2 linked regions of the Mytilus edulis genome follow. The protein of the gene in region 1 purifies or fractionates together with the protein of each later gene. This does not show direct contact. Links are inferred from orthologs where the notes say so. Each region holds a gene or a part of one and is shown on either strand. Other genes may lie near its edges.

Region 1 (7,743 bases):
CCAACCGTTCTTTTGTGGTCATAAACCTTGTGTCAAAATTTCATAGATTTCTATTAACTTAAACTAAAGTTATAGTGCGAAAACCAAGAAAATGCTTATTTGGGCCCTTTTTGGCCCCTAATTCCTAAAATGTTGGGACCAAAACTCCCAAAATCAATACCAACCTTCCTTTTGTGGTCATAAACCTTGTGTTAAAATTTCATAGATTTCCATTCACTTTTACTAAAGTTAGAGTGCGAAAACTAAAAGTATTCGGACGCCGGACGACGACGACGCCGACGCCAACGTGATAGCAATATACGACGAAAATTTTTTCAAATTTTGCGGTCGTATAAAAACATATACATAACACATAGATCAAATAAATTTCAAATCAAAAGACGGTCTTTTATAATGTGACATTGCAGTGTACATGTATGTATACATGTATATATCAAATACATCATACATAAAACAAACAAACTAATGTCAAATATAGTGTGACATTTACTTGTCATCAAGGACATACAAAGAAGAAGGAAAATGTATATCAGTTAAATTCCCTTGTGTATTCATAGGCATGTTTTCAGAAAAACTCCCACCAAAATGGTCTAAAACATAATCATATTACTTTATTTTTGTACAACTGTTTCTAAAATTCTGTAACCTTTATATCTGACTACAAATGTAAGTCTCTATCCTTAGTGATAAACCAATATTCATATCAACTAACCTGACTATGTCTCCTATCCTCACTCGTAGATTGTTCCTTACACATCTGTTTATTCTGATTTTATCATCTGAGCATGTGTCATCAGACAAGACAATGCATACAGTTTCTCTTCGTCTTTTTCCTTTAAGGAGTACTGTGTCACCACGGAATAACTGCAACTCATCCATTTTTCCCTGTAATTAAAATCACAAGTTAATTTTCAAATCAAATAATTAGGAAACCAATATTGGGATGCATGTACAGACAAGGATGACATTTAATATAGTCTTCACGCTTTACCACAGGCCCAGCAGGCTAGGCTTGTAAAATTGCTTTCAGGTCTTTAAAAATTATCTCTACATGTTTTGTACATGCCAACATAATCTACATGTAATTAAAAATTCCAAAAGCTTTAGCTCAAGTTTATAACAGACCTCTTTGCTGCAGACAGGGCATACAGGCCATTCATTAGGAGGCGGTACCCGGTACTTTTACCTTCCTATGCTATTGACAAGTACCGCCTAAATGTAGGAATTTTTATATAAGATATTCATGGAATAAATTGAAAAGTACCACCTAGAAACATGGAAAGTACCAGTCAACATGAAAGATAATGAAACCCCTGGGCATAATAAAGGGGAAGACCCATACACCATGAGTATAAGGAACGTCTTAAAAACATTTACAAAGCTCTATCCCCTTCTCAAAAATCTGTTTTTAGACTGCAATATGAACATTAATCGAACTTTACAAAATGATATATTTTTTATTCTTACTCGCCCAATTTCAATTCAAATATTAGTGGTAACACAATGCCTAATCCAGATTTTGTACAAGAACTCCAAAATGTATGACTTTACTGGACCTGAAGGATAAGGCACACATGATGAACCTTCAAAATTCCAAATCACAAACTTTCACTCAAATTTGAGTTTTTAATTTATTGATAATGTAATAAAGTAAAAGATACTGTACCTGTGAAAGGGAGACAACTGAATTATCTTCATTGATAGCTTCTTCAACAAGGAGCCTGTTAGGTCTGTCTTTACGTTTAAGGATGGCAGTTTGCAAGTCTTCACTACAAATCAAAAATTATTTACATGTACACATTGTAGTTCATTTGAATTTAAAAATCTTTTTGGTACATATACATTTGTGTAAGATCTCACACTTTGTTTTTTAAAAGATTAAAACATGAAAGCATACATGTGACATGTACATTTTTATTTCAACATGTTTTTATCTCAATTTTGATGGGTTGCTGTCAGGTTGAAATTTAAACAATTGAACATCACCATTCATTTCATAGTTCAAAATTAAAACTTTTTATAATTGACCTTAGTTATCTGAATGTAAATAGTAATTATAAACTTTTGACATGTATAGCTTTACCTGTCCATTTTAGTGTTTCAGGTTCTGCTTAATTGTTTGAAATGGCAAAATTTAGCTTTGGTTATTTTTTATATAATACATAGTGATATTGCAGTTTTGAACCTGATATCATGAATGTAAATAATGAAATGAACTCAACCAATGTCAATGACACGTTACGCTTAGAGAATGGATAAACATAATGACTTAATTTCTATAAATAGAACTTATTTTCGGTTTATTTATTTCAAGGAAATTACAAAAATGTAAATGATAAAAATAACTTTGAATATCAATTTCAAATATATATGTTCTGACATGACTTTACACTGTAAATTTTTTCAAATATAAATTTCCGGGATAAAAAAATTATGATGATCAAATATTTTCGTCAAAAAATTATATAACAGTTACTTTTGGCTTAAAAAGCATAAACAATTCTTAATTAATTACTTTTCTTCCATTAGATTCAGATATCCAAAAATATTTCACAAGTTTTAGGATTTTTTCGTTTGAACAAAGACAATGACAAAGTGAATTTGAGCATCGAAGAAAAAAACTTCGAAAATCAAATCAGTTTTTGGAGTTTGACATAGCTCCTAGTCCTCTTAGTTTACAACCAACCCATAAGAAAATCACTAATTAAACTTACTTTGCTCCGTCAGCCATTATTTGTTTCTTTTCAATTCAAATTCTACCAAATTCTACAAGTGCGTGCGTGCCGGTTTCTTCTGCGTTAAAATGGCGACGTATGGAAAAAGTGTATAATATCCGGTTTAACACGGATCGATAATATTCCGTGTACTTATTCAAAGATTATCTCAATATCTGTGACATTGACTTTAGCGTATCAAATTGTCTATTTTTACGTAAGTCGTTTACAAAAAAATATCACAAAGTTAATTAATTGCTTCGCCGAGCACAGTGTGATACGACCGCAGAAGTCGAACCGTGAACAGTCAAGTTTGCCGGGACACATTGACAATATTCAAGCTTTGTTGTCTAAATTTGGATCATATAGAGTGGGTCTCATTGGGGTCTAAGCGTGTCGTGAAAACGGGAAATGAGGTCTAGCGGGACACGGGAAATGACAAAAACATGAGAATTGCTTACGTACAAAGCAATTCTGGGAAGTGTACTAATTTACAATCTGGTAATAAATTAAGAACTTACAGAAAATTTAAAAATATTTTTATGTTTGAACCATATTTAAAAATGAATTCAAAAAAGACAGGCAAATAATCACAAGATTTAGAACTAGCTGTCATGATCTTGAAATCGAAAGAGGGAGGTATATTGGAATTAAAGCTGAAGACAGAAAGTGTAAGCTATGTAAGAACGCAGTTGAAGACGAACTACATTTTCTTTTAAAATGTCCTGTTCTAAAAGGTATCTCAACATCTATCTAATTTAAATTCAAAATTCAAAAATTTTTCAAGATTATCTGATGAAATGAAATTTGTTTGGATTCTTTCATCTGAAGATTTGTTTGTTACTTCAAACTTATCTAATTTATTGCACTCCCTTTTTGAAGAACGAAAGAAAATTATAGAAAATATTGTTGTTCGAAAAAGAAAAAAAAAATAGAAGAAAAAAATATTTATAGATATATACATATATAGGAAATAAAATTGATCAGGAGTTGTCTCCCATAGACCTAGAACTATAAGGATTTATGTAATTTCTCCAGGTCACAGTGGCACCCATAACTATGTTTTGTCAATAACTTGATTTATATCAGGTTAATTAGTGTAAATGTGTATTCATGTGGTTTTGTTGTTTAAATGTACTTTAATCATTCTAATCATTTTCTGTGCTTTATTTTGTAATTCATTTGATTGTATAGCTCAAATTTTGGGCACCATGATTGGTTAATAAAATTATCTTATCTTATCTTATCTAGTGTAAGCGGGATACGGGAATCTGACAAAACAGTAAGCGGGATCCGGGATCGGAACCCCCCAATGAGACCCCCTATAGATTTCCAACACAAAATCAGGGGCGGATCCAGCCATTTTAAAAAGGGGAGTTCCCAACCCCGGACAAAAAAGGGGGGTCCAACTATATGTCCCCACTCATATGCATTGATCGTCCAAAAAAGGGGGGGGGTTCCAACCCCCGGAACCCTCCCCCTGGATCCGCCACTGAAAATAAATGTGGTCAAAAGATCTTAAAAATCGATTGGGTAATACTCTGCTATTGAAGATTTCTCCAGTTTGAAACTTTTGAATAAATTTGAAATTTTGAAAACTTGAGAGAGAAAAAATATGACCCCCCCTCTCCCCCCGGTTGAAAAATTGGAAAACAAATCACGCTACTGTTGACACTCCTTTTGAGTAAATGACCCCAAACTCAATCCCAACTTCTATTTGTGGTATGGAACCTTGTATTACAATTTCAAGTTGAGACATCCATACACTTAACACAAGTTTACTGTTATTGTCTGGAAACTAGAAAATGCTTGTTTTTGGTCCCTTTTTGGCCCTTTTTCCTGCTTGTTCTGGGCAATTAATTTACACCAAAACTCAATATCAGCCTTCCCTATGTGATATGAAACCTTGTGGTACTATTTAAGAGAGATCCATACACTTAAAAACAAGTTATTGTCCGCAAACTACAAAAATCACCGCCGCTTGTTTTTGGCCCCTTATTCCTTAACTGTTGGTAACATATACCTTAAAATCAATCCCAACCTTCCTTTTGTGGTATTGAACCTTCTTGTAAAGTTTCATAGATATCCAATAATTTAAACTTAAGTTATTGTCCGGAAACCGAATTTGTCTTCGGACGACAACAAATATACACTGATGACATGTAAGAGTTATCGGATCATTTTAGTGGATTATTAATTTTTTGGACTAAGCCAATCTGATAAAATCTGGAAAATATCCATTACAATATGGTAATTGTTACATATGTTTAAAGTCGGGGCCTTTTATAGCCCCCAATAAAGAGCACAGGTAAATAAAATAAAAACTTGATAAAAATCGTGTTTTCATGATCCTAGCTAGAAATGTTATTATAAGTTTTGAATACTTCTTTTTGCAACTTCATAGAGTCGTAAAAGCGTTCACCGTGCGCACATTTTTAGAATGCAGCTCTTCCGCGCTTCATACAAAATGTACTTCGGTCAACACTTTACACCCAAATAAAGTAACAAAAAGAAACATTCAAAATAGAAGAAGAAAAGCATAATGATATCTCTAATAAAAACAGAAATCCACAGATGAGTACCATCATACTAAAGACAGGATAAGACCATAACAAACTGAGGATATCGAGGTATTAAAAATTGGAAACAACGAAATACATTGTTCTGACAGTACATCTCATATAAGACTTACAGGATCGACAGTAGATGAAACCAGAATAAATGACTGCATCAGTTTAGCAAGGAGAACGCTATATTCTCTAATAAAGACAGAGGTGCATGACTCAAATGGTCTTGCATACGGCCTACAAATACTGCTAGAAAGGCTTAACACACTACATGTAAACTCGAAGTTAAATATGGTCACTTCTTAAAAGGACATCATGCGAATCGTTTTACCTACCTCTGTGAGCTCTTCTGCTAAATGCCGAAATTCACAAAAGACAACTTCGTTGTTTAAAGTATGATCTCAACAGTACGCCCTGTACGGTACAGAGGAAACTATTAGAGCACTAGCTATGCGTCAATATATAATATATCATATGTATGACAAACAAACAAACTTCTTTATTTTATCATCATAAATTCTAGAGATGTACTCTTTACAAAATACCCATATTTATCCCAAATATCCCGGGCGATAGTAATCTGCTTATTTGGTTCATGTCAAACGATAGCCTTCTTTTTAACTCTAAATTATGTGAATTGCTATCCTCATTTTACACATTGAGAAACTAAATATTTGCTTAACTGAAACTTATAAAACTTATTTATAGTCTTCACCAGTTCATTGTCACATTATACTTGAATTGTTTTCTTTCTTTCTGGGCAGTAAGAGTTATCCTTCGTTCCAAATATATACAATGTAGGCAACTGACTCTCTTCATAAAAACAAATAAAAATAAAAATATATTTGTATCTTTATTTGTACTGTATTTCATTTTTCATTTACATATTGTACTGTTAAATCAATAATCCTTAATCAGAACGAGAGTTGTATGTGTGAGTGTATGCGAGTGAAAGAGAAAGGCCTTTTATTTTTACTTTATGTGATTACATGCTTGTTATGAGCCCTATGATTAGGAAATAAAAATATCTTTATCTTTATCTATGTACCAGACCTACCTTTCTTTAATGGAATATTCAAAACTATGTATAACAAAACTTCTGTCTCGGACGTCCGAAAAGAAATTACAAACAGCCAAATTTTGACCTGAACCGATATTTACAAGCACATATATAGGTATATATTAAAACAGTATTTAAAATAGTCCCCCCCCCAAAAAAAAAAAAATCAATCAATATATGGATACTTTTTTTAACAAACGTCATTTTAATTTTGAAGTTGGTGTAAAACTATTTGCATAAAATTGAGAATGGAAATGGGGAATGTGTCAAAGAGACAACAACCAAACCATAGAGTAGACAACAGCCGAATTTCAATTATTCTCACCTTTAACTGTATAATATTGATATAAATATGCTCAAAATAACTTGTACTTGCTATTTACTATCAATTCCAAGTTTACTGTATGTGTGTTTGTTTTTTCTACATTGCTTATGAAGGTATAGGGGAGGGTTGGGATCTCAAAAAGATGTTTAACCCGCATTTTCATGCCTGTCCCAAAACCAGAAGCTTTTGGCCTTTAGTAGTCTTGTGTGATTTTTCAATTTTAGATAATTTTTATGTTTTTTATTTAGGGGCCAGCTGAAGCGGGCTATCGGATGCGGGATTTTCTCACAGCATTGAATACCTATTGGTTCCCTTCTATTCGTCTGTTGTCTGCTGTTTGGACGGATTGTTGTCTCTTTGGTACATTCTCCATTTAGATCTATTCTCAATTTTATCCACAGAGGTCATGGATTTTTTTTTATCCCTCCTCATTCTATTTATATAAATGTGCCTGTCTTCAGTCAGAAGCTTGCAGTTCAGTGGTTGTTGTTGGTTCACATCTGTCTTTTGTTTTCAATAAATTGTTTTGTTATGAATAAGGCCGTTAGTTTTCTCAATCGAACTATTTCATATTTTTCATGTCATGGCTCTTTATAGCCAACTGTTCGGCGTGGGGTTTTCTCATTAACGAAGGCCATAGAGTTGTCTATTATTGCTTACATCCATTTAATTTCGATTGTTATTTCCTTATTTTATAGATACCATCTTTCAGGGATTTCTATATGACTTTGACAAGGAGCACCCCGAACTCCACACGGGTCTCGGGGTCCCCATGGGATTTACAGGGGCTACAATATGACGGATAATCTTGTGGAACTTCGATATTCTCAAGTTATTTGGGCTGGTTTGAAGTGTTTACTATTATTTTATACGCTACTGACGTTATGGTATTGATTGCAGACTAAGTAGACCACTCATCTTTGGAGTCTTTCTCATTTGTCTTTAAAACTCTGCCGTCAGCAGAATGAGATGCCGAACTCTGCATGAACAATCCAGTTTGGATACCCCTGACTATCTGTGTTCTGGTTAGATGTGATTATATAAATATCTTTTTATTTAGTAAATGGCTTATTGATT
Region 2 (7,205 bases), on another chromosome or scaffold:
CATTGTAATGGGTGGAACAACGGCAAAATCAGAAGGTGCAAAACAGAAACCAAAACGTGCCGAACAGAAATGGCTGACCTTTCTGACAATCATTTTGGCGTTTGTTACAGGCAGTCATTGCTTTTGACGGTGACACGTTCATTGGTATAGGGAAAATCAGGGTTTCAGTGTATAACACAATATTTGAACATCGAAAATGACGTAATCAATTCAACTTTCGAACTGCATTTTTTTTTTCAAACATTTAAGTAATGACAGAACTTTCTATTCATAAGTTTGTTTACAAAAAAATGCATAATTAAAAATGAAAATTGAAAAGAATAATCTAGTGTTGCGTTTCTAAAGCCGGTCAGTATACTAGAAAAATTATTTGATAAAAAAATGACGCCAATATATATATATAGCTTTTCATGTTCTAGAAGAGAAAAAGCTTATTTGACAGACACTGACGTCCACAGCTTTTTATCTTCTAGAAAATCTTATATGACGGACATAGCTGATATCAATTATAATAGCTTGTCCTATTCTACAAAAAAAATTAATGAAAAACCCTTCTATAAAAAAAAAAATTTAACGGACACTGACGTCAGTCACTATAGCTTTTGATTCGTCTTCTAGATAACTTATTTGACGGACACAGTTGACATCAATAGCTTTTAATCTTCAACAAAAAAAAAATGAAAAACACTTTCTACAAAAAATAAATATTTGACGAACACTGATGTCACTATAGCTTTTTTTATTTTACAAAAAGTTAACCTTATTCGACGAAGGCTGATGAGTTTTAGCATCTATACATACCTTTTTTACGGACACTTATGTAACTAGCTTTTTGTCTTCTATACATAACAGTATTTGACATACACTGACAACGTCAACCAGTTTTTATTCTTGTACAACTATGGCTTTTCATCTTCTAAAATAACTTATATGATAATCACTCAGTGGCGGATTCAGGGGAGGGTTCCGGAGGTTGGAACCCCCTTCTTTGGACGATCAATGCATTTGAATGGGGACATATAGTTGGACCCCCTTTTTAAAATGGCTTGATCAGCCCTTGCACTGACGTCAACAGAGGCGGATTTGGGGGGGGGGGGGGGGGGTGATCATATAGGGAATCACTGAAGCGTGACCGGAGCGGGTCCCGTCTTAGGCAGTCAGTGGGCCCCCACCTAGATCCGCCACTGGTCAATAGCTTTTCATCTTCTAGAAAAAACGTATTTGACAACCACGGACGTCATTATCATTTTATCTTCAAGAATAAATACTGATTTTACAGACACTGACGTCCACAGCTCTTCGTCTTCTAGAACATTGTATATGGCATACACTGACGTCGATAGCTTTATAATTTTTTTTACAAAAATTACAAAAACTTATTTGACATACACTGACGTCAATAGCTTTTCGTCTTCTAAAAAATCTTATATGACAGAAACTGACGTCAATAGCTGTTCATCTTCTAGGGGAAAAATAACTTATATTACACTGACGCGTGAGTAGCTTTTCATCTTCTAGAGAAAAAAATTATTGAACAAAAAATAACATGTTATATTCAGGTATATAGAAAACAAATCTGGGACAATTGCCTTTGTTGGTATACAGTAAACATTTCATGCCAGTTAAAAAATATCCAATGTGAATATTGGAAGAGGACTGGTGCTACAACGGGTCTGTCTACACTAGCGTAAAATAGAGTCGAAGATACCAGAGGGACATTCAAACTCATAAGTCGAAAATAAACTGACAACGCAATGCATGGCTAAAAAAGAAAAAAAGACAAACTGACAGACAATAGTACACTAAACACAACATAGAAATTAAAGACTGAGCAACACGAACCCCAACAGGTTGTCTCATTGGCACTCACACCACATCTGCCTTTATCTATATAAAGAGATAATCATAGGTGCTCTGGAAGCCGGTAAGCAGATCCTGCTCCACATGTGGCACCCGTCATGTTGATTATGTTAGTACACACGTTGTTATAAGTCTAATTCGGTATGTCACATTCTGGAAAATTGGACGGGGTGTAGCTACGACATTAGGAACATATATCCGCTGTCGGTTTCATAGATCTGTGAGAGGTATATACCATACATATACTGTCAACCATCTCAGTTCTGATGGCATCCGTAAAACTTACGCGGAGTTCCGAGTCCTAAATATATATGACTTAATTGTCAACAAATACTAAATACTCAAACATTTACTTGCCACTCGACTGGGTCTGTGTACACTACATTTTGAAATGACTTTATTATTATGTTGTATACCTCTTTCAGTGTCGATGTGGCATGCAGTATGTTGGCGAGACAGAGCAGCCATTCAACAAACGCATGAATGGTCATCGCAGTGACTACACTTGCAAGCCCGACCTACCCGTAAGTCGTCATTTGAGATGCACCAGCGTCTGTGGTTTCCGCTTAAATTGTATAAACTTTCAAGATTCTGAGTGTCTCAATTTGAATATATCATGACATGATTCATTTGACATCGTGCTATTACCGAAGAAGGATATCTGTTATCCGAAATATTTAATATTTGTTCATTTTATAGTTATTTAATGGTGATGTTGTACCCTTTTTGACTTGTTATATATCATATTTTGTAGTGTACAGAATCGTATTACATGTTCCATCGCCCTGTAAGATTAATCGTTGACTATTTATTCAGTCATTTTATATATATATATATATATATATATATATATATATACTATACTATAGATAATTTAGCTGATCTGTAAAAATAACATCTCCATGTCTTATATATCATGTACTGTAGCACGACGCTAGATTAAAACTGACGTGGAAAGGTAACACCCGGCCACCGAAAGCTTCATTTTTATGAAGCCCAGGCCTTGAAGTCATAAAACTTTGGTCAGTGCTCGGAGCACAAAAATCATGCTCGAAACCTGAAATCCAGCATTTTCAAAACTCTTTAAAACTCTATTTTGTTTTGAAACATAAATTAACCTAAAAGATTTTAGATTAAGGCAATTAATCTGTAAGATAAGAATTAGCGCTCATGGTAGTCATACAAATATTTACTTGGATTGTAATTTGAGACTGATCAGAGATTATATATGTAAAAAAATTGTGCCGTGAATCAGGAACATATATATTAGATATACTGTTCCCAGCGTGAATAGATTTGAATAGAACACTTTAATAAAAAATGTTTATAATGCATTACACCCTTTTTTGGCTGAATGCTCACTATACGTTGATAATAAAAATAAGTCTTTTGCTGAAATTCAGTTAAAATGCAATAATTTTCAATCTTTAGACAATCTCTTTTTAACTTTTCATATATTTACTATTAGTTAGTATAATTCAAGTAGTTTAATTTATACATTAGCGGCGCAGTATTTATCCAAAAATCTGGCAATAAGGAGAAGTTCAAAGATAATAATTGCAAATTAGCCACAAGTATAGAAATGTTTTAAAACTTGATATTTGAAAGTTATCAAAGGTACCAACATTATAATTTAATCGTGATGCCAGACGCGCGTTTCGTCTTCATAAGACCAGGGACTTTCTATACTAAGAAATAGTATAGAAAATCCCTGATAAGACTCATCAGTGACGCTCACATCAAAATAGTTATAAGGTCAAACAACTTGAATACCATATATGAGGGCCCTCATGGGGTTTTTGATTATGTGATTACTTGGCCGTTTTTTTAATGATTATTTGATTATTAAGCCAAATATTTCATGATTATTTGATTACCTAGGACTGTATTTTTAGTTTATGATTATTTGATTACTAAAGATAAGCAAATATTTAATGATTATGTGATTATATTGGCAAAAAAATGGTGATTATGTGATTCCTAGGACCCCCCCATGAGGGGCCTCATATATATACGAAGTTGAAGAGCATTGCATGAGGACCAAAAATTCCAAAAAATTGTGCCAAATACGACTAGAAGGTCTAGAATGTAATCTTTTCCTGGGGTAAGACAATATATGTCTGTTGCTGTTAATAACTAATTTTAAAAATCTACGGATTCTAGTCTGAGGTTCTAGTATTCAATTCAAATGCAATTTAAAAAAACGCGCTTTTTAACTTTTAAAGTATATAGTAGCCAATCAAAAATGTCGTTACAAATTTCCTTGATATAATTTCCATAACCAATCAAACATCTCCACGTTTATGAACTTCATCTGTTGACCGGCGTGAGGGATTTGGAACGCTTTTAACTTGGAACACCAGAATTACTGGTAAAATGTCTTATTATGATTCAAATTTGAAATACTTTGATACTTAATTCCCACGATCACTTCTGTTTGAAACACCAGCTCACTTGGAAAATGCCCAAAACCTTCATTATTTGTAAAGAAACGATTAAACCGAAAAAAGGGGGAGGACGAATAATCATGACATGCCTGATTTTTCAGATCATATGATCCAGTAACATTAGTCCCTAGTCAGTATTAAAACTTTAACACATTTACTAAAGCTCAGTCTTGCTTATTTTTATTTGGCCTGAATGATTTTTTTACAGCCCAATAGAAACTGCAAAAACTATGTCCCATAATTGCATAAAAAAAATCTCTATTTTAGTGACTGAGCGAATTGCAAGTATAAGGTTGCTGCAAGGGTTACCTTGAAGACTACAGAAGTCTTGACCAAGGATAAGATATTAGCTTCATATCTTACATACAGCATATATTGTCTATTGAAAGAGTAATGATAAAACTGAAAAAGGGGGTGGCTAACTGGCTAATTAATAGACCGAATTCGGTCTAGCTAATTAATGAAAAATAAAAGATATCAAACTGTTTATTGGTTGGTATCTAAATGCTGTATTCACCTATATGAGAGTATGAAGACCGTTAACCGTCAGTCTTTATTCTTGGAAACCAGCCATACCAAATGGCTTCTTTAGTCTTTAGTCTTTAGTAAGTGTCCCAAATGACACTGTAAACACTTGTGTACGTTTCCTCTTTTGTAGTTTCTTCACATATGTAATGTTCACTCATGTACTACAGGGCTCACACTACTTCAGAATTATAGGGAGAAGTGACTTCTCTTTTTGAAACTGATAGGGAGAAGTGGTGAGATTAGAAAGAGAAGTGCTCATTCGCGCTGTGCGATACAATGTTTGGATTTTACAATAGTATAAAGGGCCATATATGTAAATAATGTTCTTTTTATACTGTTCAATTCATATCTGAGTAAAAAAATTACAATTAAAGTAACATTTGAAATTAAAAGTAGTTTAAGCTTGTGAGAAACTACCAACTAAATATCTAGCACTAAAAAAATAAAAAATATTTAAAAAAATGTAAAGAAATTATAATATATCAATTACAATTTAATTAAAAATTATCTTGTGTATGACATTCAGTGTTTCTCATAAAAAAAATATAAAAGTTATTAAGCTGGGCCATAATATATTGATATTAGTATAATAGTCTCAGAGTTAAGTAACTTTAATCAATAGTTTGAAACAATCCATAAAAAATATAAGGAATTATATACACCAATCAATTAGATGTAACCAAAAGTCTCTTAATGCGTGTGGAATGCGTAATTTTTCCCTTTGGGATCAATATTCTTCTGTCAGCTGTTCCATCCGTGTGTCCGTAGTAATTATTGTAAAAGTACGGATTTCGGTCATAGCTGGTCCGGTTCAGATCCGTAGATTAGAAATCGGTCAATGGCGGCCGAATGCAAGAAAATTTACAAAAATAAACGATGTTTGACAAGTTATTTGGAAAGAAACATGACGTTTTTAATGCAATAAATGGATTAAAATTTACTGGAGGCAACTTTTATCACGTTTAAATGAAGTAACAAACTTATTTTGCCGCAGAAATTGAGGTTGATGTACGTTTTCGAGTAACAAGCACCGGTACTCGCAGAAATGCACGAAGTGATAAAAAGTTGTATTTTTATCAAATAACCTGCTACCCACTGCGAAGACAATGCTTCAAACTCTTTTCAAAAGATAATGAATCGTTTATGTCTGAAATTTTTTAATTATCAATAAAAATTTGATGTTTCATCAACTTGGTAAAAATTGAAAATGTCCGATGACGGAAGCGACTGAAAGCGACTGTCGTCAAGAACAGGGCGACTTGTTTTCGCTTTTGGGGGTCGAGGAAAGCGAAGTGACGGTCGGGAAGGCGACTTCTTCGCCCAAGTCGCCTGGTAGCGTGAGCCCTGCTAGATTGAAATGGTGGCTGCTGCTTAAAAAATTTTGACTTAATTTTGATATAGATTTATAGTGTTTTTTGCTGTATAGTGTTTTTGAATCTACCAGACTCCGTTAAATAATTTTCCAGATGGCACAATATCTCATTTCGATTGTCTCTATTAATGTCTTCTTCATCGATTCCTAATACGGTGTCTAAATCCATGTGTATATTTCCTGTAATAAAGTAAATAGATGTTCTCATCCTCTCTCTAGCCTCCTCATAGTTAGAACAATGTAAAAGGTAGTGTTCTACAGTTTCGGCTACTATTCTTGCCTTGGAAACCAGCCTTTCTGATCAAAATCATTGTTGCTTTTGTTTATATTAGGTAACAAGACTGTTAGGCAAGGAAACCAATCACCTCCATGTTTAATGCAATAATGGACAGTTTGGGACCAAGAGAAACCAGGCCAAAATAAAAAGATTGTATGTTTGCCCAAACGCGACCAACCCAAAATAAACCCGCCGACTCAAATTCTTTTTTGACGTTTTTTTGGAGAATTTTTTTTTTTCAGAATTTTTTTGGGTCCGCTCCGTCATCGTACAAAACTTAATGTTTGTCGTCTTTGCGTTTAAAAGTAGCTGTGAATAAGATTAAAAGAAAGCGTATAAGAGACACAGTTAATCGATATTCAATGTTCTCTGTTTTTATCTTCTGATTTAACAATGTTTAACGAACGTAAAACAGTAAAACATGTGAAGTGGCACAGTTTTTTTACGCTGTAGGTGTCTGTACTACCAAACCCTTTCCTATATACTCAATGTTAATTTCATCATGTTTATCGTAGAGTGGTTGTTTCGGACACAAATTAAGGCTTAGTAAATAAGAACGTCTGCTTGCAATGATACTTGTATTGAACTCTGAAAAGCTAACGTCACAACAACGGTGACGTCGTGTACATGGAGAGCGGTAGAGGGAACACCTCATGTGCAATTCTTAACATTCTGGGGGCCCGCAAATGAATTTAATTACAATAAAATGAAAATAAATTAT

What was found. The genes of interacting proteins can lie anywhere in the genome.
Region 2: the proteins of transitional endoplasmic reticulum ATPase (region 1) and calnexin-like purify together in Homo sapiens (affinity purification with mass spectrometry; 4 studies listed by BioGRID, with this or other methods). This does not show direct contact. The link is inferred for Mytilus edulis from reciprocal best matches to the Homo sapiens genes VCP and CANX.

What each region holds. Positions count from the first base shown.
Region 1 is NC_092344.1:121,175,437-121,183,179, forward strand, and holds the start of transitional endoplasmic reticulum ATPase, read right to left. Parts: upstream 3,049-7,743; 5' UTR 2,732-3,048; coding exon 2,715-2,731; intron 1,770-2,714; coding exon 1,667-1,769; intron 886-1,666; coding exon 713-885; intron 1-712. UniProt on the Homo sapiens protein: Necessary for the fragmentation of Golgi stacks during mitosis and for their reassembly after mitosis. Involved in the formation of the transitional endoplasmic reticulum (tER).
Region 2 is NC_092351.1:90,147,016-90,154,220, reverse strand, and holds the start of calnexin-like, read left to right. Parts: upstream 1-4,140; 5' UTR 4,141-4,231; intron 4,232-7,205. UniProt on the Homo sapiens protein: Calcium-binding protein that interacts with newly synthesized monoglucosylated glycoproteins in the endoplasmic reticulum. It may act in assisting protein assembly and/or in the retention within the ER of unassembled protein subunits.